Drosophila melanogaster: one gene and its partner. The protein of the gene in region 2 interacts with the protein of the main gene of each other region in a pairwise test. Each region holds a gene or a part of one and is shown on either strand. Other genes may lie near its edges.

Region 1 (16,076 bases), on a different chromosome or scaffold from region 2:
ATATCTAAGTTATTGCAAAATATTGGCTGCTGTATAATGCTTGCATAAACGTTCATTGGTCGAAAATCAATAGACTGTCGTATAAGTTTTTCCTCACTAAGGGAGTATCTTGCCTCATGTGTACAAGCGTCAACAGGACCCTTGTCTACTTGTCCTTTCACAGCTCGGAAAAGCATATATAAAGGCTCGCCAGCACATTCCTTCAAAAACTTGTAAAGAAGGAATGTAAACCAAGCACTTAACATTTTTTCTGCCACACTTTCAGTTCGTCGTAGTAAGAGCTTTGGATGACTCTTTCCTTCTATACATTTTTCGATCAAGTCTCCCAATAAAGTTTTTAATATATCTGTGCAATATTCTAGTTTAGATTGCAGAGTGACCATTATTAAGGAGGCCACATTAACTCGTTCTCGCATTGAGAAGTATCGGTTGGACTCCAGGGTTCGTATAAAAAGCAGGAGGAAAGTTTTATTCATGATTAGTTGGCCAAAAATACGTAAGCCTTTTTCTTTCCGAAGAAGCTCAGGACGTTCCCATTGTAGTACAATGTGGTCTTCATGGTTTGGAAATAGAATCTTCATTGCATATGACCGGTAATCCAAAAATGGAATGCCTCCAGAAGTAAGATCGCCTGTGAGATCAGTCATTTCAGTTTGGAGTTCGGCAAAGGCCTCTTTACATTCAGCTGCGACTCGTAGCTCCAGAATGTCCATCTGCTCCTGCATGTTTCGAAGAACTCGGCTCGATTCCGAACTTTTCTTTTTATAAGCCACAAGCAAAGCAACAAAAATCAGCAGCAAGATAACAATTGTGGCTATTACAGCAAAAATTACATTTTCTCCCCAATCCAAAATGATGTTAGACGATTCGTAGCTAAGTATACCGATACGATACTCTAGCGAAGTTCCAATACGAACAATTACTTCAGGTCCATTCATGCTTTTGGTTGCTGTTGCTTCAGAAGGAGGTCTACATGTTAGTTGTTGTCTTGAAAGTGATGTAATATTGCAAAATCCATTTCCTATCTTTACTTCTACATCACTTTCTTTGCAAGCGCGATCCAAATTTCGGCCATTTATGGTTAAGTATTCACTCTTAAAGTACTTAACTCTTTCTTCGAATATAAAATACTCTGGATTTGGGTAAAGCTCGAAATGGTTGTTATGAACCTTAGATAAATTTTGAACACGCAAAACATTGTCCATTAGGAACCCATATTCAAGAAGAATTGGCCTTTCCGCTTCAATAACATGGCTGTCCACATCAACAACTGGAGATGCACATTCCATTTCCGTATCCGATTGCACCCGACATGGGCTTGCATACATCTCTCCATTATACACTACATAAATATTGGGATTTTGTATACTGGTAAATTGGGTACCCGTTACAGAAATTCGTATACCGCCTGCTGGTATTCCTTTTGGAACTTTTATTTGCCCGCTTGGTCCAGAACTAACGTGTTCAACTGTAGGATCCAGTACATATTTAAAATTGTAGTCATTAAACTCTCGGGGCCCATTATCAAAAGACATTTTTAGTCTTCCTTCAATAATACCAGGGGAAGCAGAAGTGCGACATATTGCTTGAGAAGAATCTGTGCTTAGTATTTTACACGGTAAGTGATCGTTTATGGATGCCTGTATACGAGAGCCGGCATTTAAGTGCTTTCCAGTTATATGTATTTCGGTTCCACCTGAAGTTGGACCAAACTTTGGATTAAAATCCAAAATTTTCGGGTCAACGAACTCGTAGTCCTCTTTGGACTCACCACGGTAGTCCCCAATTTGTACCACTATTTTGCCATTTCTATACATCTGTTCTCCAGGACTATCCACGGTACATACTATTTGCTTAGTGTCAATATAAAATTGAGGAAACGGCATACAATTTATACCAGCTATTCGAACTCCTGAATAAATATCGTTATAGTTTTTGCCTAAATTAATTCCTCGTATTGTTATATTTGTTCCTCCTTCCCAGGGACCTGTTTTTGGTTGGAATGTATGAATTTCAGGGTTTGGGCAAATTTCACTTCGATTTAACCAATCAGTTTTCCCCTCTTTGTTTTTATTACATTGTTCTTCAACTTCGCATGTATTAGTAGACGAGCACCATCCGCAATTGTACTTTTCAGATAGGGCCAAGCATATACCACAGCTGTCGGCCATTTCTCGACATCGATATATAACAACTGCAAAACATAAAATTTTAAGAGTAAAATTTTAAAAATCTTATTCTAAATACAACTCACCATGTATATTATGAGGATTGTCAAGTGGCTTCGACCCGCCCCATATTACAGCGAAAGTTGCTGTCAAATTGGGCGATCTAGAAGTATACTGAAATTCCATGCTATCGCAGTAAATGGTGTCACCCAACAACTGAGCGTTTAAACTAGTTACACGTCCCTCAATATTAAATTGACAAACAAACCGCGTTTGAACTATAAATTGCCCAATAATATGAACTTTTACTTTAATGGATTTGCTTGTACCACCAGCGACAAGTACTTCACTTCCATCACCTGTAGCGTTGATCGTTGGACAAAATCCGGGACCTGATCTGTAACTAGGACCTATCCGGCTAACACCTGTTACCAAAATATCGTTCCGGCAGTTTTCAGCTGTGTCGTGTGTGCACCTGTGAGCTTCAACACACCAATCACATGGAAACTCCGAGGACACACAACGTGTACAAGAAGAGTGCGTACTGCAATCAAAGAAAGTAAAATCCGTGGACACTAAGTCGGGTCCATTTCTGGTGCGAACAGATAGTTTGGCAGTAAAGTGATGTTTCCCTTGTTCAATTTGGGGTAGCATATCCGTTCGTGGTGTCGTGCAGTTTACGCCATTTCGTTTTTTTGTAGCATTAGTGAAAAGGGCTTTATCCTCTGTAGTAAAAGCACATATTAAATTCTCTTTCAGCTGAGGCAAATGATCTATGATTAGCTCTAAGGTTCGAGCTGTAGTACGTTGTAGCTGGTGTGGCACAACACTTGTTATTGTTGTACATTTCCCTGTTTTATAGCTAACCCAATAGAGAGGATCGTTTGCGTCGTCTTGGCAGTTGGAGCGTGGGCTACATTTATTTTCCAATGAGCACCAGCCACAATATGGATCTCTAGCACCTAAGCAATCTCCACATGTCTTGTAATCAGAGCAATCAAATACTTTAACCTTGGATACTTTTGTTTTGGACATAACATATATATAAAGGTTTTGGTTGTCAAACTGCATATCCCGATTAATTTCAGACCCTAAATCTACTGCAAAACTAGCATACTCGTTGGCAATAGATGAAGACTCGATTACAACTTTCTTAAGAAATCCATCGCTAGTCCCCACGAAGACAACGGTATACCCGCTTGTACTCGTAGCAGCAACAGAAGTTAACTTTGTGTTAAACATGGCCACCGGTACTGAAGTAATGGGGGTTTCTCCTCCTAAAGGTGAGTTTACATCTAATCCACAGAAGTCCTCTCCAATGGTTTGCAGTTTCTGAAATCAATTTGTCAGCATCCAAAAAAATTACCAATAAGCAACTGATATTTCATTTTCTTGCTAAGATAAAATAATTCTTAGGATATGAGATTCCGAAGAGCATAATAGCTGAAGTAAAAGGACAGTCATATTGGCATACGAATAACGAATAGCCACGCCTATAGATAAAGAAGTACCTTTAAATAATATTTTTAGCTCATTATATGCGAGAATAAATTATTTTAAATTGCCTTTTCCACGAATGCTAATTCTAAAACTGGATGTCTTCATAAAAAAAAACAAGAGAAAATGCTAGTCGGGTTCCCCGACTATCAGATACTCGTTACTTAGCTGAAAGTGTGAAAGATTTCAATATTCTCTGGGATATCTGTAAAAATTGGGAAAACCATTTTTTTAAAAGTGTGGGCGTGACAGTTTTGGACAATTTTTTGGCGTTCGATACAAAATTCACAAGACTAATACAAACATCAAAACAATTTTTTAACGTGTCAGTTTTGTCCGATTATAGTTTTTAAGACCACGACGTTCATACGGACGGACACACGGTCCAGATCGACTCGGCTGTTGATCCTGATCAAAAATTATATAATTTATATGGTCACGTCACACACAAGGAAGCACATTTTCTAAGAATTTAGTATACCCTTTTACTCTACTAAAAAAAAACTCTTCATAAAAAAAAACAAGAGAAAATGCTAGTCGGGTTCCCCGACTATCAGATACTCGTTACTTAGCTGAAAGTGTGAAAGATTTCAATATTCTCTGGGATATCTGTAAAAATTGGGAAAACCATTTTTTTAAAAGTGTGGGCGTGACAGTTTTGGACAATTTTTTGGCGTTCGATACAAAATTCACAAGACTAATACAAACATCAAAACAATTTTTTAACGTGTCAGTTTTGTCCGATTATAGTTTTTAAGACCACGACGTTCATACGGACGGACACACGGTCCAGATCGACTCGGCTGTTGATCCTGATCAAAAATTATATAATTTATATGGTCACGTCACACACAAGGAAGCACATTTTCTAAGAATTTAGTATACCCTTTTACTCTACTAGTAACGGAATTTTTCAGACATTTCTCAAAACTCCGTAAGATATTGCTTTGCAACATTTAAAAAATCAACTTGGGCTGCGTCTATTTCTTTGGATTCTACCTGCTTAATCTCTGGCTTTTATAGTTCCTGAGATCGAGGCGTTCATATGGAAATGACCATTTCAACTCGTCTATTAATTTGATCAATAAATATATACTTTACATGGTCTGAAACGCTTCTTTCTGGCTGTTACACACTTTGCAACGAATCTAGTGTATCACATAAAATAATATTTCCAGTATAAATATATATATAAATATAAATATAAATATAAATATAAATATAAATATAAATATATATATAAATATAAATATAAATATAAATATAAATAAAAATAAAAATAAAAATAAAAATAAAAATAAAAATAAAAATAAAAATAAAAATAAAAATAAAAATAAAAATATAAATATAAATATAAATATAAATATAAATATAAATATAAATATAAATATAAATATAAATATAAATATAAATATAAATATAAATATAAATATAAATATAAATATAAATATAAATATAAATATAAATATAAATATAAATATAAATATAAATATAAATATAAATATAAATATAAATATAAATATAAATATAAATATAAATATAAATATAAATATAAATATAAATATAAATATAAATATAAATATAAATATAAATATAAATATAAATATAAATATAAATATAAATATAAATATAAATATAAATATAAATATAAATATAAATATAAATATAAATATAAATATAAATATAAATATAAATATAAATATAAATATAAATATAAATATAAATATAAATATAAATATAAATATAAATATAAATATAAATATAAATATAAATATAAATATAAATATAAATATAAATATAAATATAAATATAAATATAAATATAAATATAAATATAAATATAAATATAAATATAAATATAAATATAAATATAAATATAAATATATATAATACATGTATATATATATATATAAAAATATATATATATAATTTGACGAAACGTGGGAATTAACTTTAAAGGGCTTAGAAATAATTAAGTAAACACTGAGCACTTTACAATAAGACATTACTTTTTAAAAGGATTTTACTTTGAAGCTAAAGTAGTCAATAAAACTATACTTACCGTTAGAACACATGGCATGCTGGGTGATATAAAGTCCAGGCCCCTCATGCCACTTCCGTTAAAACAGGATTTTATGTTTTGCATAAACTTTCGACGAATAGATTTTAATGAGTAAATGCAGAGTGCAGAATTGTTCGTTGGTGTATTCCCTTCTCCTTTTGAAAAAACAGCAAAGAGGACATCATCTTGAATAGATATACCTAAGCTTTGAGCCAGGTCTGAGCTAGGTTTTCCCAAGAATCCAGCCTGAACCAAGTTGAATTTAGTGCCGCCTTGAGCATCACTTATACATTCCACTGGAATTTCAGTGTAAGAATAATAGTTCGAGTCTTCCTGACATATTCGTACGAGTTTCGTTATGTACTCTTTAGGAGAAGAATGGTGACTGTGCTTTAACTGTGTTGTTAGAAAGTAAGAAAATCGCTCAGAACTGAATCCATAAACATAGTTGACAAAATATGTTTCACGTGCGTATGAGTTTATAAAAGTTCTCGTTCCAGTTGTAACTGCCGAGGAAGCAATCTGAAACATTTTAGTCTTTTCGAGGGAGCGGGATGCAACTGCGGGAATTTCACTGCGGTACGGTGAATTATTTGTGTATGTAACTCCGACGTACATCACATTAGTCACCGGATGTTGTGGAGGTCCCGGCGCAATAAATGCTACGGTTGAGGAGTTGGCATCATTAGCCACAACAGCATCAGGAACTTCATGCTCAATTATGCTGACATTTTGAAGATTACGAACTGTGCATGTACCTTGAAATAGTGATCCACACGCAATAAGTCTTGAAGTTGCACGATCAATGAGCAAGACCTTATTATAATTGTCCGTCGGACTGCGAACTGCATTTAATGGACAATCAAGAATGCTACACTCGACGGAATCATTTTGAGGCCCCGTTTTCACAGTTTCGGAAAGCTCCAAATCAGGCGACAACTGATACAACCTGTTAACACCACCAACGAAGACTCGTCCAGTAATGGTGTCCACTAATAGGTGATTCAATTTGGTGTCAAACGCAGCTACATTTGTAATCGTAGAATTCAGATTCTTTGCATTCTTTATCGGTGCATTTGCATTAGTCAAATTTATCGGCTCATTTTGCGCAGTCGTCTTGTCAGACCATATATTTGCTGCCAGGGTTTGACAACCTGTCCTCGATGGCAGCCAGTAATCATACTTATCTTTAAGAATTGCTATTAACAACACACTAAGAACAAAATTCATCTCCACAATCGCTCCTTAAACAGGACTATCAAAGCTACCTTATTTATGAAATTGTTACTTGTAGGCGCTTGTATGTCCCTTATTTATTTGAAATTTTACGTAAATATTAAAATTTCCTTTGCGTTGGTGTCATTCTTGCAATTTTTATTATCCGTTCCATTCAAGATAATTTAACTTGGAGCAATAACTTGTATGACCATCATGTAAACCTGAAAAAACAATAAGGAAAGTAGTTATATATATATATATATATATATATATATATATATATACCCGTTACTCGTAGAGTAAAGGGTATACTAGATTCGTTGATAATTATTTAACTGGCAGAAGTAGGCGTTTCCGACCATATAAAGAAAATATATTCTTGATCAGGATCAATAGCCGAGTCGATCTGGCCATGTACGAATGAACGCAAGGTTAAACTTCGCTAAAACCTACAGAAACTGTCCAGTCTCCAAATGGCTTAATATCCTTTGGACTGATGAGTCAAAAATATGAACTGGAACTGGTTCACGACAGTATGTCCAACGACCTCCAAAGACCGAGTACAACCCAAGCCACACACTCAAGAATGTTAAGCACGGTGGACATAAATATGGTATGGGCCTGTTTTTCATACAACGGTGTGGGTCCCATACATATGATTAATGGTATGTAAATATACCTAGTGATGTTTTACTGCCATATGCTGAATGGAATATGCCCTTATAATGGACATTCCAATAGGATAATGATCCGAAACGCAGAAGCAAATCGGCTAAGAATAAGTTCACCCAAAATAGAATAGATGCAATGCCGTGGCAAGCACCATCATCCGATTTAAACCCGATTGAAAACCTGTGGGGGGACATTAAACAATACGTGTCGAAGAATTCCCCGATGTCCAAGATTCAGCTTTGGCAAGTTGTGCAGGATGCATGGGCAAAAATTCCCCCAAACGTCCTCGTGGACTCCATGCCGAGTAGGTGTAAGGCTGTGCTGGCTAAAAAAGGCAATCCAACCAGGTATTAGTCCCTAATTAACACATTAAAAAAAAACTATGTTAGTTCTAAGTCATGTTGTTACTATTTTTTCATATCACTGCTATTTCAGTGAACACCAGAATTTCTGCCTATTATGTTGTTTTAATCTATATCTATTGAAAAAATAAAAGTGAAACATATGTTGAATTGTTTGATATAATAATAAAATTATGAAAAAAATTCCCATTACAACTTTAAATCATATGATTTTTTATCCTAAACTCGCAAGTCCCAAGCACTGCTATTTTTATGAACACAGCTGTATATATCAGCTAAAAGGTTGAGATTCAGCATACAGATTCTAAAGACAAATACGGAGCGAAAGTTTGTTAACCTATGTTGCCACGCCCACTCTAACGCCCTAAAACCGCGCAAAACTGCCACGCTCACATTTTAAAACAAATTTTAAATTTTTTCTCATTTTATTCCTTAATATTGATATCCCAGAAAAATAAAGCAATTTCGCGTTCGCATTCACACTAGCTGAGTTACGGGTATCTGAGTCGGGGAACTCGACTATAGTATTCTTTCGAATTCTATTTGTGTGGATCACCAAACATTGAAATGCTGTTACATATAGATTATAAATGTATTTCGTGAACACCCAATAAATCGTAATTTTGAAAATCTTCACAGCCAAAAAAACTCAGTTTAAAAATTTAATCACGTCAAAACAAAAACTGTGGGTTGGCTGTAAGTGTACTTCCCTGAAACATGGGTAGTTTATCGCATAGTTTAAAATGATGTCGTACAAATAGTTTTGAAACTACAGTTAAGGTTAAAATAATAGCACTACTGCAGGTGGAAAATTGATATCCTAAAAAAAATTATAAATTTTTTTTTTTTTAAGCCAGATTGCATGAATAATAAGTACCATATGTTGCCTCTTTGAGCAATAAATTTTTAGTCTCTCAATTTAACGGTTCTTTTTGTTTTTGGGCACTTGCTGCAAAAGTGCGCGAAATGAGGCGGTAACAAAAATAGCACTGAAAACGTATTTGCTGAATAAAATTAATGGGAGTGATTGCTTTGGTTTTTTTTACGACAAATTTTGAAAAAAAGGTGTTGCATTAAAGGTTTTAATTGAATTTGCTCCAAACGAAGACCAAAAATTCTCTAGTCATGGGTCACGGAAAGCATTGTACCGTCGAAAAAAGAAATTTGATTAAAAACGTGATCTCTGAAGGTAAAACCTACGCTGAAATTGGTCGCATTGTCGGTTGTTCAAACAAAATGATCCGCAAATCACTGCTGTTTGTCGAAAAGAACGAAACGCGGCGAGGAAAGCCTTCAATGTCCAACTTGGATGCTCTCCAAGCATCCAAGCGCTTGGTTCGGCAAAGCAAGAACCCGGTGACGGAACTGAAGATGGAGCTTCAGATATACTGGCTCAACTCCTTAATATGAAAATCTCACCCAAAGCATAATTCATGAACCAACGTGCTCTACCATTTACTGTCTCCGAATAGGACTATAACCGACCAAAATATATTCCGCTACTGCCGCTAATATGTTGACCGCAACTGTACATATATATTAAACATGAATCCATATCATGCTATAAATATTAATGGAATGGAAATCCCAAGCTAAGGAGTTTCCTATGTATGCTATATAAGCATATCTCGTTTTTGCAATAAAAAATTTCCTCTACCTAACACATTAATTGTAAAACTTTGAACAAATTCAGTTCCAAACGTTCAATTTTTTTCCACTTACATATATTCGCACTCAGGCCACTTATTCCAAGCCATTTCGTTATAGAGAATTTATGTAGTTTTAAAGTATATTCACGGCTATTCCAGGATTTCAAATTTGGGCGAGCGTGCACAATATTTGGTAATTTCATTGCAAATGCATATATGCATACTGCACATACATACATACAAATTTGGCCAGCGCCCGAATTTAAATACATATAATAAACCGGTAAAATGTAAGTGCACTTAGTTTAAATGTTTTTAGGCAAAGATTATTGAGAGAAGTAAAACTCGATCTTTTGCATTTGGAATTTTTGGGATATTCTGGTGCACACACATCTATACAAAATGTATATATTTATATGCATACACATGCACATCATATACAGCAAATTTTATTTTGCTGCTATCTTTCCCAATGCATGATGCATTTAATTTCGTATGTGTGAAACGCAGCTAACAATGTATTTAAATAAGAGCCACACTTTTTAAAAATACTATTTACATAAATATAATATATACTTAAGTACATAAAACAAAATGATTGCATGGCCGTTTTTAATTTTTACATACATACAACGTTGTATACCAGTTAAAGAAAATTTGTATTTTCTTAATAATTCTAAAGCAATGCAATATACACTGGAACGTTAAATGATTTTATTACACTTTTTTTAATATTTAGCAAAAAATGACAATTTTGTATGTATATCTGAATTATGGAACGGCGATAGTTTTCTAGTGAACAATCGGAAATCCGGCTTACTGTTTGTTTTCCTATATTTCACTCATTAACTATTATTTCTTTACATCGCAAGTCACTGAACATAATTTCTGTCTATTTTCGAATTACACCACACTTTAATTTACACATCATTGTATGTAAATGTTATCGATACTATAAGGCAGAGGAGAGAATTAAACAACTAGTTGTTAGTCCTAAGACCCGTTCATACCTATCACTATCGATACCTAAATTAACCGATGGCACACTTCAAAATGTAATGTTCACGAGTACATGGAAAATGTCTTGTTGTTACTGTGTAATGACTCGTACGAAAGTAATTTGGAAGGGGTTTGATTCCCAAGCCAGATAATATTTATTATCTCTCTAATTTCCTTGAGCATTATTAAAAAATGAAATAAATATATTTAATATATTCGTTTTCTTTAATATCGATAGTGTGATGAGACTATAAAGGTCTGTTCACAATGAAAATGTAAATTGAAAAATTGGACTTAAGAATTTCATGCTAACAGCTCCTCAATCCACAGCAAATATGTGCGCAAACTGTATCAAAGCATAATTTTGTTATTTAAAATTTCATGGCACAACTTTTTTTTGTTGGCCTTTGTGCACATTTTATGACCTATTGAAATATCTTCAACTGACACCGACTGCAGATGTGCATATTTACACATCTGATTTAAAGCATTGTTGTTATGACCATGTAGTTAGAGACTTAGTTAGTTAGTAAGAAAAAAAAATAATCAATAATTTCACTGTTTTGAGGGCTGATTAGCAATAGAGATTTTTTCTAAGAAATGACATATAGATAAAAGTTAAATGAATTGAATTGCAGGGTGTTTATTTGCACATGTACACATGAAGTGTATTCCACTATTGGCTGCTTACATTCTCAGCTTCGTGCGTGCGCAGTTTGCGGTATTTTTGGCGCTACTAAGGTAAATTCTATCCATAAATCGTCTATCTCACGTTAAACAACAGGATATCAACAACTTGTGGGAAACTGTCAGAAGATACCGTTGACGCACTTTTCAAAAGTTTATTCCCCTAAATCGTAAAATAGAAATGTAGAAAGGAACAAACTTATGGAGAATTGATATTTTCGGAACTATGAACTCTAGAGAGCTCAGAGCATGTAGATTCAAGTGACGCCACATTTTTCAAGATTGTTGCAGAACGTTTGTTGTTTAACCCTACCTCCCACAATCTGCCTTAAAATGTCAGAAATAAAAGGTTTACCCGTTATTCAGATAGTGGGAACAGTGGGCGTGGCTAAAATACGTTTGGCAAATCGATAGAAACAGCCAAGAGAATTTATAAAATAAAATCGAAAAATAATTCTTAAGAGTGGGCATAACAGTTTGGGTGTGGCAAAATTTTTGTGGTATGTCAATATCATGACAGATAATTAAATGAAAACAAAATAACAACACAACGCCCACAGAAATTGTGGGCGTTAGATTGGGCGTGACGTCGTTATGATACAATCTTGCTTATCCAATTCAAATTTAAATGATCGAGTAAATATTTTGAGAAGCACATGCCCAACCGACTAATAACGGAGGGAAATAAGATTTCAAGCAAAATTTTTTGAAGTGCTTTGTAGGATTAAAACTCGAGTGCCTATAATACATGTATACTATAAATTCCATTCTATATGTACAGCCTTTCCGCCGAATACCCCTAAAAAAACGACAACCAAATCCAGTCCGAAGTCACATGTCGAGATAAGGATAATAATGTATTTGTTAAATTTGATACACAGGCACCGTATTACTTATGCGGGGAACTTAGTGCCCTAGCTATTAAGTATCATGGAGAGGTAGCAGTTCCATACGAGGGCGATGAACTGGGCGTAGAGCACCTGGTAGCCCAGCGGCACGAATCTGAAGTTTAGCATCTGTGCGGCCGGCCAGAGCATATAGTTGCGGACCAATATAGATAGGTAGCTATCAAGAATGCGCTGCCGGATTCGGTCGATGGGCTCTCCGTTGGAGAGTGGCACCAAAAAAGACATGGCCATGGTAAAGGGTGGCGCAAAAAGGGTCTGGTCGACCAGCATTTTGGTAACGCCCCGCCGCATTGGCGAGTAGGTTTTGGGAACCCGGGACTCCAAAAAATGGTACCACCGGCGCAAAGTTGGGCCAACGAACACCAGTCCAACGATGCCGAAACGGAGGGTTCGCCCCGCATCCCATTCGTCCAACGATTTCTTATCAAAAAAGAACTGGGATATAGTATCGCCCAGACACATTACCGCCGCCACATTGATGCCATCCTTTAGGTACGCTTTAAGTCTCTTCATCCTTATCAGAGATCAGTTCCATTCATAGCCCGATCCAAATTGTTTTAAATACGCAATTAAAACACAACTGAGAAATCGATTTGCTGTTGTTCGTGTAGTTTTAAAGGGTTGCCTAATAATCGCAAAGTGATTGGTGTCAATTGCTGAAGTGACAAAAATTGGCAACTCTGAATAATTATTTAAATTAAATTATGCTAGCGTATTCAACTTTTTAACGCGCGTGAGTCCTTTTAATTGTTACATGCCGAATGAGAAAACGTTAAATTGCGTTCAATATGCAATTTAATGTAATGTAATGTAAAATAACTTAAACGTTTTAAGTATCGAACTGTTTTAGCACAGAAATCTCTTTCGGAACATGCGCAACGCGTATTCTTAATATTCTTTTAAATATAAATCTTAACTTTAACCACCGCTCTTTCTCCGCAACTATTAAGGTACTGATATTAACGTCAGCTGTTCATAGTGCTGTGAACACGCCTTGACAAAGTGCAATTTTATTTCGTTATTAAATGACTACATTAATTTATGCAGCTTATATGTGATAATCTATAATCCAAATCGTTACATATTTTTATTTAATTACGTAAGTATGTGAATTTATCTTAAGTAAACTCTAATTCTTAATGGTTTCCATTCGACTTTTTTAAGCCTTCTTGTGCAATTACTTCGTCCAGGTCATTAGCGGCCGTTGCTTTCATTTAATTTAAGCTTCTTTTGTCTATTTCCCTACTGCATTTCCCGTTTTGTGACCGTTTGAATTAAATTTTTTCTTGCGCATTTTGGCAGGACCAACTTCCTCTGCTGGGTTCATTATATTTTTCTCGATGTCCTCTTCGTCTAAGAGATCTTTATATAGATCCGGGATTATTGTTTCCTTCATGAACTGCGGCGTACGACCGGTAAGCACCGACTGTCGCACATCGTCCTCTTTTTGTTCTAGCGTCTGTGTGGTGGTGTGCAGCTTGCTCCGGATCTTGTAGTAGTTAGCAGTGCTGCGAAGCTTGGCAGTAGCTTCCAAGAATTTCTCGTCTGCTTGACTAAGAGATGTGGAAATCATCTTCGGTAATTGGATGCGTTGCTTGTAGCTGCGCCCGAACAACGGATGTCGTTCTCGTAATAGGTACTTGGGTAGCGTTAGATCAGCTTGAATTGTATGTTCCTTCTGACCTGGTAGCGGTTGTTTATCATATAGACGCTTGCTGATTACCACATAGCCGACAAAGGGAATTTTCCGGAGGGCATAGGGACCCATAGATCTCAAATAGCCCAGTGCCTCGCTCTGTAACGTCGAGTTTTTGACGGCACGAACCTGGAGATCGCCCACGCTCTTCCTGCCAGGAAGCCTAATGCGCTTGCCGACTAGCAGATGTGGATCTGCACCCTTGGGACACTGGACCAGCCAGGCTTCGTCGGTCTGACCATCGAAATCCCAAAGAGCATCCCCGCAGCACTCACGAGCAGCCGCGCCTGAGGTCAGGTTCACGTACTGTTCCTCCTCCAGAAATTGGCTCCGAGGTTTTTCCTCCTGGCGGGAAAAGAGTTTTTTACTTATTTTCATTGAGCGTTGGGGAAATCAATGTATTGCAGAAAATGACCACACGTGGTACAGGTGGAAAAATACAAGGGAAATATCGATGCATCGATAACTTAAAATGATTTGAAGGAGTAAATATTGTAGTTATGTGTTTGTAAGCGTAAACACCCCTAACCTAGATAAACTATTAGATTTTAGCGATGGGTAGGAAGGAAATGTTTATAGCTGTTTCTCGCTAAAATGGAAGGGCTTAGCAAAAGTAATAAACCCTAAGTTTCCCATACCAACCAGTTTAACATAAACAAATTTATTTTTTAGGTTTTAAAATAACGCTTTTCTTCAGGCAGACAAGCCGACAAAAATTGTATTAAGACAAATATCGAAAAATTTTGTTTGCTTTTGATATCTTTTAAACAAAAATTAATTGCCAATCAGACTGACTAAGAATTGTTTACTCGCTTTTTCAACCATATCTTCTTCATCATCTTCATATCAGGATCACCAGCCGAGTCGATCTACACATGTCCCTCTGTATGTCGAGATCACAGGAACTACGAAAGCTAGATAGTGATTTAACAAGTTGAGACTTAACATTCCAGAGACGAAGAATCAGGGCAAGTTTTTTCATCGATGCTGCAACGCACAATCTATTGCCCACACGCCGCCCAAAACTGTCACGCCTACCACTATTAATATCATTTTTTGTCATATATTTTCCAAATTCTATCCATAAGCCATAAAATAATTTAAATTTCTCTTGCGTACTTGCGTTCTCTCTTGTTTTACTTATTTTTGTTGGTGCAGTTACCTCTACTCAGCCACATCAGCTTGCAATCCATTAAACCACCTTTTCATGGGTGTATCAGTCGTTAGTGTCGGGCAACCACAACAGTTACAGTTCATTGTGTATATATAAAAGTGGCATTCGGACACTCTCCTGGTGCGGTAACAACAACGTAAGTCCACATTATGGTCTGAATACGCAAAAATACTAAAACCTCGATATGTTTTGGAAGCGTAAATACTCAATATATCGCGACTACCGATTTGCTCATCACTAGGACTTCTGCTCGCCCGCACACTTCTCAGTTAGTTCGAGAAAAATGTTCGCGTTACGTGCTGCATCTAAAGCCGATAAGAATTTGCTGCCATTCTTGGGGCAATTGTGTAAGTAGCACAAAAATAAAAATTTTTAATTGATAACAATTGTATTAAATTGCGAAGTTCAGCACAAAATATGTGCTTTGGCTAATAGCGCAATTGTCGAACATAACCTATCGTTCAATAAAATGTTACGAGCGAAAAAAAATATTACATAACAATTTTGAATGATTTAAGGTTACTTCTGTTTTATAACATATATAACAGTACTCAATTTAAACGACTTTTGAAAAAAAAAAAGATTTTTTTAGTCAGACATTTGCGTGTACGTCTTTCTGTAAGTTAACTAGGTATGTACATATATTGTATGCCGATATTGTTTGACGTTTTAAATTGAATAAATTTTTTTTTCGTTATATTGCAATTGAATTCTTCACAAAGTATTTTGAAAATTAAAGTTACTTAAAAATTAAATTAATAATTAATAGTATAATATTAATTGTTCATCATTATCTTAAAAAATAATATTAAAAATTGTCGATATTGATGCCCAAATTGTTACTGTTTAAGTTTTACGATGATGTATTCTACTAGTATCACTTTCGTTAAGTATAACATAAATCTGTATATATTGGTATCTAGTGATAGGAAAATCAATAAACTGATAGTACTTTTTATTAAAAAATGATACCAATTAGCTTTAC
Region 2 (16,295 bases):
CACAAGATTAATGAGGAACATTGAAACGCCTAAACTTGTTTTAGACCACGCCGAAACCGACACCCCCGCAAAAGTGCCAGCGACAGCAAACATATAGTATATATAGTATAGTATAGTTTAGTAGTGGCACGAGTATAGTTGTGCAATTGCTAATCCGCCATCTAGCTGGTGACCATAAACCAAACGCCGTCGGGCGCTTAATGAGGCGCAGTCCTCCTCGTTCTGAAAGCCATAGCTTCTATCTTCTACTGTCTTGTGGATTTTCCTCCACGTTTTCCATCAGACTTCGACGACCACGCCAAAGATGTTTCCTTGGCCAACGCAAATATCAACATAGTACATTCATTTGTTGTTGCGCTTGCTTTTGGTTGGTATTATTGCTTTTATTATTGTCGGCTCTGTGCGGTTTTGGCTTTTTCAATTGCACTTGAGGTGCTTCGCATCCTCTCCGTCATCATCAGAGAACACACCTTGAAGGTGGGAAAACGATAATAATAAGACTAAGCATAATAAAAGCCGGATGTCTATTAAAGTTCTTCTCTGAACTGCTGAAATTCTATATTTTTTCTTATTGCCTGTGGGTTGATTGGACTCGAGTGTGTTCCGTATCCGTACATACAAATGTATGTATATGTTGTATACTCTTGGGTGTGTGGGTGTTGGGCTTTTAAATTTACTTCCTCTCATCTCTGGAATTGCTTTTTCGGTATTGAACGGAACAGGAATTAAATTCAGCTCAAGGACTGCAGGTAACGAATAAGGTGGAATTGATTGAAATTGATTGCCTGGATAAAGTTCGAAAAAGTTTTGTAAGTGATGATATATGTATAACTTATTGGCTGAGGTAAGTTTTTTTTTTGGTTTGTGGCTAAAATCTTCGAGTTTTTGAGACAGGCAAAAGGTTTTTAATGTTATTTTTGGAAACAAAAATAATAATATCAAAATAAGAAAAATACCTTTGCCTTGAATCGAGTCAACCCTATTTAACCACATTGACATTTACCAAAGTGAGTCAAGGTACAGATATTTGTTCGCACGCCCACGATATGAGATTTCTGGCAATTCCCACGGGAACTTTGGGCAGAACACGCGCCATGTCCTGATTCGCAAACCACCTCCGAATTCTCTACTCTCCTTCCTTTCGCCAGAGAAAAAGCTGTTCTCAGCATATACACTTGTAGCTGGGACATAAAGACACAAGCGTCTGGCGCGGCAACGCTTAAGGATAATGTGCCGCACGCTCGTGGCGGCCTACAAATGGCAGGGAGTGTCCTTGTTAACCCAACAGTCCAGTCCAGTTCTGATCAGGCACAGAAAAATCAGCGAGGGTGCGCCGGAAAACATGCAAAAACGTGCCGAGCACGAGCCACTGAAGGAAAATGAAGGAAAACTTTCCAAGTTACTGGCAGTTCGTGCCTGCCGTTGACATTTCTCCATCTAATTGCTGCGGCTTGCTTTCGTTTTCGACTCGATTCGAGCCAACAACCCCATCAATCTGTCCAAGCCGCCGCTAACTGACATATTAATTGCTCATAAAGCATAAGCAGTCACCACCAAAAATGTAATCCCCCCTGATTGGGCGCCGGGGGTTGCTCGAGATATTGTGCAAAACATGCAAATTTTCCAGGCTGGGAACCAACCTTTATAGCCGCATGAACTGCCTTTTGACCTAAGCCCATCGCGGCTCAAGTGTCTGTGGCATTATCCTTGCCCGCCAGACAGTTGCCTTAACGCTTCGCTGCCTCTTTGGCAGCGAAAGGATGACGGTCGAGGATGTGAGTGCTCCTGCTAAATTGCTCATTAGCTGGATCACAAACTAGAGTGTAGAGTGGCGAAATAGGAAAGGAAGTTCAGTGCGAGTTTCTACGATCCAGGAAGGACGTGAGAAGTGTTCTGCCTTGGCCCCCAATCCTTTGAGGTAGGTCAGGTGTTAAGGGTTTTAGATTGCCGCTTATGATGTGAAACGTGAGAACATTTAATACAACAATATTTCAAACTTATAGTAACTTTCTATGTTTATTTTTGGATATTCAAGTTTTAATAAATACATTATTCTCTTAATCTTCATGCTGTATTTCATGCAATTTATCTTGAGCATCGCCACCTATTAGCCGAGTGCTCTTCATGCCCAGCATCGTCATCAGCAGCTCTTTGCTGCTTTAATTGGTAAATTGTTCAGCTGATATCACAATTTAATTATCACACATTAATTGCCCGGCGAACGAAACTGCACCCAGGCACTTCGTCGTCGTCGCCGGTAGATATAATGGACGAAGAGCCATCTGGGAACTGCCTACAATCGAATTAAAGTTAATTTTTCATGCTCTACTAAAAGTTATGCACACTTGGCGTTTGTCACCGAAGGTATATACATATATGTTTGGGAGTGTATCCGTGGTTTATATTTTGGTGGCGGGATGGGAAGGGCTGTGGATGCGATTTACGGGTGGAGCACATCCACTCTTTAAGTGGGATGTCAGTCGATGCCGCGAGGCGGTCGTGCTTGGTTGCTCATTTATGACCATGGAGCACTGGAGGAACGTATACGTATCTGCAAGATACTCGTACTCGTTCCCGGCACGCACACAGAATGCAATTGCGGGACGGATCGGAATGGAATGGAGTGGAGTAGAGCAGTGTGGAGTGGAGTGGAATCGGAAGTTGTGGATTCAAGGCTCCGGGTAGCAGCTTTAAGTCACCTTCTGGTCGTTTGATGCTTCAGTGAGCTGCGACTGCAGTCGCTACCCATTTCCTTCGTTCAGTGGGGATTGCAGTTCATCGTGCTCCATGCAACTGGGTTACCTTTTCACTGGGACAGGGCACTGATTTTATTTGGTTCTGTACTCTGAACATGGTTAAGGAAGGGTCACTCCGGTCATGCTTGGGGAGCAGTTAATTAATGTTAAGCTAACTTTAAGTTTCCGCTTTAAAAAGTCGATGCAACATGCAGTTGAGAACTTTTGGGTCACTTAGTTCGGGGAACTTTTTACAGTTGAAAGAAATACGATACAAATTATGTTTAACGTATTGGATGTTCTTGATATTATTATTCAACTTCATCTGGTTAACAATAACATTTGCATATCGATCCGATAGCCAATCGTATTATGCTCCACTATCCTTGGCTGACATTTGCCATTACATCAGGCCTTTCTGCATTACCAATGACATATGACATTTGGATAGCGGCGCATCTGTAAAATTTATGCACGTAATGCGCGCGCTGCGAATGTATCTTTGTATCTCGCAGATGCCATTACATTTACGACCATGCCGCATGACAAAGAAGCTTTTTCCTGTCTGCCTGTCATTCGTCGTCAAAATCTTGATAAATTTCTAGACAAACAGTTCTAAGCTGGAAGTAAAATCAGGGTCTTTGCTCGACCAAATACATTTTATTCTGTGACCAAAAGAACTTTTTGTGGGAATGATAAGTGATGGTACGAAAAATTTTAAAACGAAGTTTATGACTATAAAATGTTTATACATTTTAATATTATTCGGCGTTTTTTAACAATTAAATTAAGTTACGCACGTTTTTAGCCCTAATGTAAGCATTCTCTGTGCTGCTCTAAAGTTCTAATTATTATTCCATTAAAACGAAATATCTCTGATCGATCAATTTAAAAATCCAATTTTATGTACCATAAATTTTTACCTGAGCTAATAGATTTCAGTTCGTCAGAGTCTACCGATATAACATGATGTACACGAAGCTAACTTTATTAGTTTCTTTACTGTTGCTTATGTTAATAGTAAAAGAGGTAATTAACTATTATATATAATGAAATAACAAATCTGAAACCCCCGAATATTATAGATAAAACCCCGAGTGGAGTTTACGAACTTGAAGTGTAGGTCTGTGAACAAAGATTTTGCCGAATTTACGCAATGCACTCTGAAATCGATAAATCGAACATATAAATATATTTCGACAAAGGTTTCACTGCACAAACTGCCAATTACCAAAGCACGGGTAAATATAACATATTTTTTTAAACCTTTTTCCTACTAGTTAACAATATAATAAACATTTTAGGTCAACTTTGGATTGTACAAAAGGTTTAATGGTTACAGGCCGTTTCTATACAATAAAACCCTAGATGCTTGCCATTTTTTCCAACATCAAAAGGCAAATCCTGTAGCAAAGTATTTCTTTGACATGATTAAGGAGTATTCAAACTTAAACCACTCCTGTCCATATAATGTATGTATATTTAAAGGGTTTATGGTTATACCTATATTAATAAAATTCAAATGTCTGCCCCTCATTAGAACGATATTATTGTGGAAAAAGTTTCCACCGATACGGTTAATCACCATGTTACGAAAATTCTCCCTTATCCGGAAGGTGATTATATGTTAGAGACTCATTGGATGCTAAATGATATTTATTGCGGAGTAATTCAAGTGTATATAACTCTGTTCTAAATTATAAGTTACTAACACTAATAGACTGTCACTATTATTCATGATTTCAAATTTAGTTCTCCGCCAAATAAAATAACATCAGCGCTGCAGTATTCATTGGGCCACCATTTATTAACATAATTGTATTATCAAATCAGATAGATAAGCACATCACCACACGATTGATTATTATCAGTAGATAATGAATGGACATTATTTAATTAAATTTGATAACAAAATTATTAGGAAATAAAATAATTTCCCACTAATGATAGCGTTTTATTTATTAATGTATACAATTGCAGCTGAGTTAACCAATTCATCAACATTTTGCCCGTTTTGCCAGTTTCTTAACATCTCACTGCCTCAATTAAAGTCATGAAAAACTCAATCATTCAATCCTACCCCAATCAAATTGAAGTTGCCTGAAAGGCTATAAGCAAATAATTTGTTATGCGACAAAATTGCCATCTTAAATTATATTTGACATTTAGTAATAAATGTTGATTGCGCTTGTTTTTTCTTATTCAATTGTTTCATACACTTAATTGCGTGATCTTCACTTCACACTTTTTTGGATGCCATTTAGTCATACAGTGTTAATTATATATTCTTATAACAAATTCCAGTTTGCAGTTTTAATTGACAGATTTTTTTTCATTCGCATTTTTGGTGTATATTTGCAAAGTTCTAATTTATACGCTTTTTCATGGTTCAATTAACATTTTCGAGTGCAAGTTATTGGCCATGCTTTATCTGTATGAATAAATATGTATGTACATGTATAAGTATGTTTATACTAATATGAGGTAAAGTCGTTGTATTTGCGAAAGGCTTTTCGAAAGTAACCAATGCCAAAATGAACATAAACCAAGTAACTGAAAGAAGCTTTACTGTTACCAACAGAAATTGCCGACAGCGTGGTTTAAGGGGTCTTAATACAAATCATTATGATTAATCATCGCTCACAAATACAGGCAAGTGACTAAGGTACACAGATACATTTTGGTTTCCACGCCCTCGGGTTAAAGATACAAAAAAAAATTAGATTTTCGAGCATTTGCTTTGTTCTTTTCCAGACGAAATATAACGCTACAGGGCGATTAACATGTTTTTTTTCTGCTGATTCAAATTTGAAGCGTGGGCATATCCAAATTTGGCAAATAAACTCGCTTCTTTGAAGTCATAACTTCAATAATTTATTAACGAACGGGCGTAATGCGTTAAAATCAATGTTCGAAAGCGATTTCAAGAGGTATGTATGTAGTTCGTTTGGCGATCAAAACAAGACGGAACTGCAATTGGGGTCAAAGGATGCAAAAAAGAACGATGAAACTGAAACGCGTGCCAGTAATGAAAAAACAAATAAGGCAAGAACAATAAACAGAAGAAATCCCAATAATGCTAGCGTCGCAATTCCAACAAACATAAACATCAAGAAGGAAAATAAAATGAATTAGGAACACACATTGAATCATGGTTGTTAAATACCCTTACACTTAAATACATATGATTGTTAATCTTTAGGTACCCCTTAGTGTGCCAGAAAGTTGACCCAACCAACATTTTCGTAGCATATTGCAATATTATACTGTGCATAGTCGATCTCTTGAGATGAAAATACATCCACTATAAGAGTGTCGCCAATCCCACGGGTATTCGCAAATGGCCGAGCTTAAGTGCATTGGTATAGGGTATCAGATCGCGACCATATGGCGTTTGGGTCGCGTTGCCTTGGCAATGTGACAAAATGCAAATGCGGCTGCTTGGCTAACGGTAAGCTGCAGGAAAACAGTTTCTGTTCTTGATTAAATACACACACAACCATGCCAATCACGCACACACGTTCACGTGCAGGAACAAAATCGCAGAATAACATAAAAAAAAGAGCGCCAGAAACGGAGCTCCCGAAAGAAAATCGATAATTTGGTGTTTTGAGGTCTGTTTTTTATAGTGACCCACCAAAAAATTGGAGCAGCGCTTATTTGCTCAGCTTTCGTAGTATTAAGTAGTATATATTGTATGTATATATGTATGTATGAACGTGAGTGAAATTTATTATTTGAACTCACCTGCGATGATTTAATTGTCAAGTTATGAAGTTGGCGTGAAGCTTTTTCCACAAAACTCCGAAAGCTTAAAAGCAATTTAAAAATATATTTTTGTTGTTGCCGAAAATAAAGCCGAGAAAAACAAACAAAGCGAGAAACTCCGTTTCGTCGGACTGATTACACAACTTTACAGTGTGAAGTTGGAGACTTGGTTTTGTTTCTTTTTATTTTTTTTGTGGGGAGGCCGAATCCAGCAGGTTTTAATTACAGTGTTTCAGGGCCGCAAAGCTTCTCATGTTTCTGGGCCAGCACAATTCATAATTTTCCGAACAACTCGCATTGGAGTTTCGGCCAAATAAATTGGCACCAAACAAATGGCCCACGACGCACACACACACACGCAAACACACACCCGCGCGTGCACGCACACACACGACCGTCGAGAAAAGAGCGCGCAGAGCGACTGACAGCGACTGAGCTGGAAAGCGAACTGAAAACCAAACGAACCAAACCGAAACGCCAACGGCTTGGAGCACAAGCTCCTCAAAGGCGCGAGCGAGCTGGGGAGATAGATAGAGAGAGAGAGCACAGATTCACCCTTTATAACGGTACATTTCAAGACATGTGATTGACAGTTCGCCAGCCTGCATCCCTGACATGGCGTTGCCACTCTGTGGAATTGTGCTACCCTTAATTAAAAGTTTACTGGTTAATTGCAAAGTTGCTATTTTAAAATCGTTATAGGCTGATTTTCGCAGTTAGGTATTTTTTCTCAATTTTATTTATTCTGCATTCACCTAGCATATATCTTCAAAATTGCTATTGCTCCTGCTCGAAGATTGCCATGTCAACTCAGTGTCCTCGAAATCCACGATATCTCCCAGACGCACAGGTCCCTTGACCGTCCGCATGAATTGCATCTTGGGTTGATCGACCAGCTGCACACGAACTTCGGTTAGAATGCCTCGGGCTCCAATCCGATTGAGAATTTTTATGACACGAGCCTTGGAAGCGACAGGTTGGGGCATATTTTTTGACTAAAGTCAAACTAGCTGTGGTAATAAATTGATAAATTTAATGCTGAATTTTTTTCGAATTTTAACTTTCAGACCTAAAATGAACTCCAGACACTAAAAGTACAGCTTTCTAAACATTTAATTTAGGGGTATGTAACTTACAATATCAAATGACAGTTTTGTTTTGGATATTTTAGAATACTTTGAGGTACATCTTTGCTTAATCCCAGCCGCTTATTAAGTTTGAACACTTTCGAACTTTCCGCGCAGCAAGACATCCCTCATTAATCCTGCGAGTTCCTCGTTCTTCTGCGATCGGATCTCATCGATGACTAACTCCTTGAAACCAGGGTCCTTGGCCGGATCGGTGGTTTCTTTTAGCTTCTGCTTCTCTAGCTGCAGCTGCGGTACTTCCATTCCGAATGTGGCTCCAATTCGCTCCACACTTTGGGCGCCAGTATCACCAATTTTCGACCAACTGTCCGTTCCAAACCAAATGCACAGTGGTTCATTGAAGTCCACGACATGAGAGCGGAACGGATGAGCAGGACTGCCAAATCCCAAGTGACAAATGGTGTCCCTCAGGACCTTGGCCAACTTGGGCATCTTCTGGGAATAGAACAGCAATGCGCCACCTATGAGGTGGGCCATCGATCGCAAGCAGCGGCAGGTGTGCTTCCTGATAATAGGATCGAAACCAGAAAACACATCGTACTTCCCACCGACAATTATCACTGGAAAGGGCAGAGGGTCTAGTTTTTCCGAATCTTTGTTCTGCTGACCCACTCGCTCCACTGTTCGCTGTTCGAGGATTTCCCTAAGCTCCGGTGTTACCTTCTCCATCATCTGCTGCGCCGTATCCCTCAGTCCCTTGTATGCGCACTCCAAATCCGTCCAAAATCGCTGTGGCTGGGAGAGATCTAGCATAAGGATGACGGCTAGTTGCTGCAAACCATGTGTCCGCATTGGTACTTCCAGCAATTGCTCGGCATTGTCCAGGGAGCCCAGTTCCCAAACGTTCATCACCTGCGGTGACTTTCCACTGCCAATCCGTCGTCCAAAGCTGTACTCCAGTGCTAGAGTTGGCCGCGTTGCGTGTTCCTCGCGATCAAAGAACTTATTAATGGCCGTCGTCTTACCCTTAAATAATAAAAAATATAATATTTTTAAAAAGGGGTTTGTAGATTTTTAGTGTATAACTTTTTTGGAATATGATTTTACGTGGATTTATAAGTTGGATCCATTGCTTACCACACACTTGCTTCCCAAGACAAGAATTGTCCGCTCTTTGGGAGTCGTTGTGGCCTCCAATTGGCGAAGCCGCTGCTGCTCCTCCGCCAGTCGACCGGCGATGTCCTGAATGCTGGGCGTGGCACTTTCGCCGCCCTCAGTTCTCTTTACAAACATTTTTTGAAGACGCTGGTGCAGGCTATGAAAGATTAGCGGCAAGCGCATCGCAGGAAAAGGGCATAAACTAAACTACTGCGGTTTGTTTTGCATTTAAAACGGTTGCTACTAGCAACTGCGACTGAGTGGCAACTCTAGGCAATATCAAACTGACCGTTACTTTCACCCCTAAGTTGCATAAATTTGAATATACATTTGAACATAAAGGATAGCTTTAATTTTGGATTTCCTTTATTTATTGGTTGTCATCTGATTAAATTAAACATTAAAAAATATATATATTCCAAATAGAAATCCAGCTAACGATAATAATACTAAAGGAACAAGGGAATCGTTTACCGCCATTGATTTGTACGCATTGAAATTTGTTGATTATTTTCTATTCTTTAATCATAAGCCTTCCATCGACTTTAAGCTTAAGTGTTAAAAAAGTGCGCAACAAAAGAGATACATTTCCAATTTCCTTTTGCTATAGGGCGGAACATAAAAGTACAAGCAATGTACAGCGGCAAACAAGATAGACTGAACTGGACGCGACAATCGGTATTGTATAAATAAAACAAGGATAACAAACAATGAAGACGAACTAGGCTGGGCGGTCGGAGGATTTCCGCGGCAACCATATGGAATACTTCGGAATGCTCAGTAGAGCCAGATCTCCTCCAGAATCCCGTTGTCTAGCTGCTCGGCGGGCAGGGCTTTCAGTGTGCGCAGCGTCTCCATGTAGAAGGTCAGCTCTGATGTCACCACCCCGTGCTGCGGACCCCCATTGTTGTTCACATTCAACTTGAGCAGTTGTTCCCGCAGCTTGTCTTTAAAGTTTCGATGAACAACGCCGTAGATTTCGTGTATCTGTGCCTCCGGCAGCACACCGGCGATGGCCTCGTGAAGTTTCACCAGGTGACGCGAGATGTGACGGAATGTCTGAGAAGGTATAGGTGGTCTGGCTTCCCAGGCATCCAGTTGAGCTGCCAATCTCTCGGATACAATTCCGTGTATTTTATTCTCGATCTCCTTGATGTGACCCTGGTAGTCCCGCTCGATAGTTTCGTATCCGCTCATCGCTTGGAAATGCTCTTTCAGCTTGGGCAGTAGCCATAGAACTAGTTGCAGTGCTCGCGAAACCAGAGCCAGGTTGGTGCTCGTTATGGTTTTTAGCCCAGCAACTCGCATTGCTCCTGCTCCGATAATTAGTTGGCAGCTTCTTGAGTTGAAGCAGCGCAGCAGGTCCACCACATTCCTGGCGTGATAGCTGGCTAACAATGGCAGCCGATGTGCACTACAACCGTACTCATACAACATTCGGATGAGCATTAGCGAAGCGCTGACCAACGTGTACGGTTGTTTGCCTTCCACCAAGAGCACTGGGTTGCCTGCTCCATTGCTTATCAGATTGCCCATCTCCGGTTTGGCATAGTCCCCGGCGGCCATACGTTCGATTATTCTCTGAAATTCGTGCGGAATGTCTACTTGGCGCCAGCGCTCCTGATCCAGGAGTAAGGACAACTTCTGCTTTCGTTCAGAATGGAATCGTTGAGCATATCGGGAGGCTTGGACTTTGAGGGCCAGCTGGAGGGGCACACTGGCCACTCCACAAATGCTCCTTGTTGTCTCGCCAAAGTGATCCACAATCTCAGATAGTTGGAAAAGTTCTTGCTCGCTAGCTGAGCTCCTTTCCAGGCTCTGAGGGGACACAATGTTGGCACAACGCTCATGGCAGTAGTGGCAGACGGCTTGAAGCAGTTGTTGCAATTGGTTTTTTAGTTGCTCATGGTGTCCCGGACTCAAAAAGGCTTCTGAATCTATCAGATTCACTGCGTCCTGGGCTCCCACAGCTGCGTCCGCTGTTTGCTGCATTATACCAACTACAGTTTTAATTCTTTCGAGAATGGAAACCAAAGCTTGGCTGGAGCGCTGGAGCAGAGCAATCCATTCGGGAAGGGTGAGCTCCAAGGCTTGCTCTCCGTGGCCCGTTAAACTGATCTCCTGATCGCTGTCACTCCGTGCCAAAACCTCAATCAGCAGCTGTTTTATGATGGCTCGAATGGTGGCGATTGCTTCTTGCTGGTAAGCCTGGACAAAGGAGAAGTTCTGCTTGCGCAACAGGCCCATCACAATAGCTACGAGTTTATCCTCCTCGGCGCAAACGCTGTCGGTTTCCCGGAGGGCATCCGTTAACGGTCGATTTAGATCGGCGGCAGCATAGCGCTCGAATTCCGTGGTAAGCATTTTGTCAATAAGCTTCTCCATTTCGCTAAGCTGCATAGGCAAATGCTTAAAGCAGTGAATGCCAAGGAGTTCGGCGGAAAGTATTTCCTGCGTGGTGCCTATCAAATCCAAGGCTGCCACATAGTCCTGGGTGCCCAGTAGGAGCTGCAGCATCGGTTGCGTCTTGTGTACGGTGGCCATCAGTCGGAGTTTGTCTAGTGTGAGGTTATAGTGCTGTCTTCTTTGGGCGAAACGCAGCACTTTGAAGCTGTCTACAACCGAGTGGCTGTGGAGTTCGGCCAGTGCTGCCCGCAACTGACGTACTTGGTCGGCCGCCTGCTCCATCTCAGCCAGAATAGCGTGCTGCGTGGTCATGGCGTGAAAGAACGCAGCCGATTTCTGCGATACCTGTTGCGCTATTTTAACTTCCACCATGTCCAGGTAGTGACTCAGCTGTTCCTGCAGCTGACGACCAGTTTGCTGATGACTTTCCGGACTGGAAGCCGATGTTTGCATGTAATTAGGAAATACCTGCTTAAAGGTTGCCGGATGATGAAGCTGCAGTTGTGATTTCAGAAAGATCTCGGGCACAGAACTCAAGTGTGTTGGTGTCTGACCACCAGTTCCCGGTCCAGGTGCTCCTTGTGCTCCATTCTCCAGCGGTTTATCACGCTCCAGTTGTTGCTGCCGCCGCTCATGCCAACGATATCGCTTCCCTATGCTGCCCAGATACACGGTAAAATCCGCATGGGTTATATCGGGCAATCGGGGTGATGGGGGCACATGACTTCGTTCCACAAAATGCTCGCCCCACTTTTTGGTAAACAGATTACTCTGCTTTCCTCGCGAGGGATCGTTGAGCACCGCTGGCAGGTTTTGGGCCGCCGAGTAGACTCCCCATTCGGGAGGCATTTCGCGCGTGTGCTGATTGACATGGTACTTGGCGACATGGGCGTCGTAATCGCGATCTGAGACTCCGTCCAGTGGAAGCGAGGCACATACTCCATTGAAGCCATAGCGGCACACAAATGAGCCACCCTCCCGGGTACAGTGACGATTTCGCAGGTGACTGTAATGCGTAATGAGAGCATTTATTAAAACAGCTTTATAAGATCTGAGTAACTTTAATGAATCAATATTCTATTAAATTCCAATTGAATTTGCAACACATTCTATTATCTTTAAAATTACATATATAGAAGTTGTATTGTTTTCCGTATAATCACTTTTAGACAATCCCAAATATAACTTACGTACAAAACACCTCTAAACGAGGTTTGTGAGTTCGACTGCAGCTATACAATTTTAATTATTTCTACCTGTCTGTGCAATTTACCTGGCATTTATCGTTTTAACTCATACATGCATATAAAGTTAAGATAAAAATGGTATTGACTCGTAAGGCTGCTCAAAGTTCTATTATATGGGAAGATTTGGACGACACTCACTTGACGAAGTCGCTGATGCTTTTAAAGTGCTCCCGGGTGCAGTAGTAGCAGCTCTGCCAGCTGGGCGCCACTCCTCCGGCAATTCCACCGACGCTAGCCGTCGATAGCTTTCTGATACCCGAGTTCCCTGCTGCCGGTCCAGTATCAACGGACGTGGCGGCACCTCCGGCGGATCTTGTCGTGGCCATAACACATGCTCTGCGTTTAAAGTGCCGCGCCGTATGGTTTCCCCGGTGGTTCACCTGCTCCCAATCGTTGACGTGTTATGTCAATGTTTGTTTTCTACCTTCGCTCGTCTGCCTCTCTTGCCAGATGTTGCATTTTGGTTGCTCCGCAATAAGTCCACTTTCATTGGCTGTTCGTTCTCTAGCCTTGGAATGGGCACATTTCGTCCGATTTATGGGTGTTTCTGTTGCTTCTGCGGTCGCTTAATTGAGCAATTGTAAGTGGAACAATATTATGACGAAGTTCAGTGTTGTAAAACAGCGGCGGACTGGATGGCAGCTGGCGAGGGCTGGAAACGGTCAAGCGCGCGATGCCAGCAGCTCGAAATTAAAATATGAAAGTAATTAATTTTAACAGAAAATAAATATAGTATATGTTTAGTTAATATAATTAATGTAATTTGAATATCTAAAAAACAAAATATCAAATAAATAGAATTATGCTTTAAAAATTTAAGTTGAATAATAATTATATGTTTTAATTATATTAAACATTCAGGCAGAACTGTTTTATTTTTTAAATAAAAATGTTTATACATTTCCTGGCATACAATCGTATCGTGCAAATCGTGTCTCAAAAATACCAAACGTTATCCAACACTACATCTGAGCAAAATCAGCTGACGACTGACAGTCGAAATTGGGGCGCTCGAGCGAAATTGCGGCGCACCGGCTTTTTGAATCTTTTCGAAGTGGTGCAGCGAATAATTTTGATTATCTAGCTAGCAAAGAACTGCAAAGATAATCATGCGACTGGCACAACGTTACGGAATTGCACTGGTTGCGCTGCTTATGGTTGGGGCGACCGTATTGTTCTTCTGGTCGGAAAATATCATTAACTACGAAAACATCAAGTTCAACAGTCCTGTGGAGCTGGTCTGGTGGTCCAGGGATATGTCCTGGAATTACGACGTGCAGCGCCAGTGCGGAATTCATACTTGCCGCATCACCAACAAGCGGAGCCGCCGTCCGTGGGCCCGGGTTCGTTTCAAAAACCAAAAGTCTAGATTTCTTTTTGTTTCACATCCGGCAGACATGATAAGAATTGGATTGAAAATAATAATAATATAGGGCTCCAACTGTTTGAGATACTGTACCATAGTTCTGAAAAATATGTAAACACATAGCTTAGACTGAGAAATGCATAGCACTGCAGATACAAATTCGCTTACTTCAGTAAGATATGTAATTGTAGATTCATTGTAATTTGATATAATAATAACGGAATGTCTCTTACATTTTTCACAGGGCGTCCTGTTTTACGGCTCAAACATAAAGACGGGAGACTTTCCCCTGCCTCGGAACGAGCACCAAATCTGGGCCCTACTGCATGAAGAATCACCAAGGAACACCCCTTTTGTGTCCAATAAAGAGTTCCTTCGCCACTTCCATTTCACATCCACGTTTAGCCGCTACAGCAACTTGCCGCTGACTACGATGTACTTGCCCAGTGGCGAGGCGCTTACTTCGAAGGATTACTATGTTACGTTTGACGGCAAGTCAAAGTACGGATACCGTCCATCCACATCGGTGGTGTTCCTCCAAAGCGACTGCGACACGATGTCTGGAAGGGAGGACTACGTAAAGGAACTGATGAAACATCTTCCGATCGATTCCTACGGCAGCTGCCTACGGAATAGAGATCTGCCAGAGAGGCAAGTAGGCTATTCCATTTGTATCCTATTTATAATCCCAAACATTTTACACACTCATAACAAACACGCGTGACAAACACATCACGTGAAACACTATCGTTCTAAAATTCCTTTGCCATCATGACATCACCAAGTGCCAACGAGCTTCCCAAGGTCTGTTGTTCAGAGTGCTGGGTGCAGTTGTACGGCTCGCTGCCTCAAATGAGCAACGTTTCCAGAGAATGCTGCTGTCGTCAGGGAAATCATAAAGATCTAGAAGAACCTCTTTTCTGTGATGACGATTCAATAATGGAGTCTCAAAATAGTTCAAATGATTCTGACCAAGATAGCAACGGAAGATGCGGATGCCCTTCATGTCGAGCTGAAAAACACTAATATCTAATTTGCAATCGAAATCGTAAAAATTGTTCAATGCCTATTGATTTTGTTTTAGCTTGCAGAAGGATTACTTGAATAATTTATATTCACCGGAGTTGCTGCGTTTCCTGTCCGAATACAAGTTCATGATTGCCATTGAGAACGCTGCCTGTCCGGATTATATTACCGAAAAGTTTTGGCGTCCTTTGATAATGGGAGTTATTCCAATTTACTTTGGCTCACCCACCATAAAAGTAAGTCCGTATTTCAAATAATAATTTTCACAATTTTTTTTTTATTACATTCTACAAATATTGCAGGACTGGGAACCGAATAATAAATCTGCAATTTTTGTGAACGACTTTCAAAATCCTCAGGCATTGGTAGAGTATCTCAATAAGTTGGCGGATAACAAAAAGCTGTACAATTCGTACCGCCAACACAAACTAAATCGGCGTAACCCCATTTCCAACAAAAAGCTACTCCACAACCTTGTCACGCGCCAGTACCACATAGGCGATTCTTCTCCGGGAGCATCACTCTTTGAGAAGTTCGAGTGTGCAGTGTGCTACCATGTAATCAATACTGCCAGGAACGTGAAGGCCGACTTGCGTCATTACAATTGTCCCCTGGAACCGGTGTATGCTAAGATGGAGGGTCAGAAAATTCCTCAAAATGTCGCGGATTGGCGAGCCGCAATGGAGGTAGGCCAGTGCCAAGCTAAGGTACTCGATGAGTTCTTCCGTCGAGACATCGGTTTCAATGACGCAGAGTTTGATGCTGAGCTCAATCGGAGGATTGAGGGAAACAATTGCAGTAATAGTTCAAATACTTAATTCGAAAAATACGTCAATCATACAGACTTTACCATGTGATAATAAATGTATATTAAACTATTTACAATAAGCTGTCATTTCTGGTATTTACAATGTAAATGTACCTCATCCAGGACTTTATTTTCCTATTCCATTTAATTGAAAACTGTTGTACACAATATAAGTACGTTAGCTTAATAAATATTTAAATACTTAAATTTCCATTGATTCTTCTAAAAATATATGTCTGCATGTACCCATTTCATCTACATCCATTGATCCATCCATCCAAATGATTCCATATGGTGGGGACTTTGATCTCAAAAGAATCTGTGACATCAGTAATCTCTACTGTACAAGATTAGTATACTGGTGCAGTTTCAATATCGTACGGCAGATGCCTAAGAATTAAAGTTTTCGTTATGATATGTTTAAATTGCATTATGATTACTTACCCGGAAATACACTATTTCTCGCAGCCTTTTCGAACTTTCGATTCGGTTTTCTTCCTAACCTAATCATCTCTCTTAAAATTAGAGCCTTATGAGAGGGCTCTGAGGACATCAACAATTTTTGTTTCTTTACTAACGGATAGAATCGTTTTTTCGTAGATGATGAAGACCATTTAAAACCATTATTTAGCTTTCTTTGAGAAATATTCCTGTGCCTTTTTATTTGACTCGGCCGTTTTCGAGGATTGCTTA

Evidence for each region.
Region 1: the proteins of CG3769 (region 2) and CG11076 interact in a two-hybrid assay, tested with the Drosophila melanogaster proteins (one large-scale study listed by BioGRID).

What each region holds. Positions count from the first base shown.
Region 1 is NC_004353.4:1,016,516-1,032,591, forward strand, and holds CG11076 (uncharacterized protein), read right to left. Parts: upstream 14,461-16,076; 5' UTR 14,296-14,460; coding exon 13,456-14,295; 3' UTR 13,196-13,455; downstream 1-13,195. Other genes in the region: PlexA (plexin A), read right to left, coding at 1-2,194, 2,255-3,500, 5,727-6,956; mitochondrial inner membrane protein MPV17, read right to left, coding at 12,228-12,734; ATPsynbeta (ATP synthase, beta subunit), read left to right, coding at 15,375-15,438.
Region 2 is NT_033779.5:9,428,147-9,444,441, reverse strand, and holds CG3769 (uncharacterized protein), read right to left. Parts: upstream 9,044-16,295; 5' UTR 8,933-9,043; coding exon 8,729-8,932; intron 8,618-8,728; coding exon 7,715-8,617; 3' UTR 7,600-7,714; downstream 1-7,599. Other genes in the region: CG33723 (uncharacterized protein), read left to right, coding at 3,702-3,764, 3,821-3,976, 4,040-4,207, 4,276-4,431; RpS28-like (ribosomal protein S28-like), read right to left, coding at 7,259-7,489; scat (scattered), read right to left, coding at 9,527-12,161, 12,541-12,728; FucTB (alpha1,3-fucosyltransferase B), read left to right, coding at 13,512-13,745, 14,013-14,419, 14,853-15,030, 15,097-15,612; CG42847 (uncharacterized protein), read right to left, coding at 15,940-15,992, 16,047-16,295.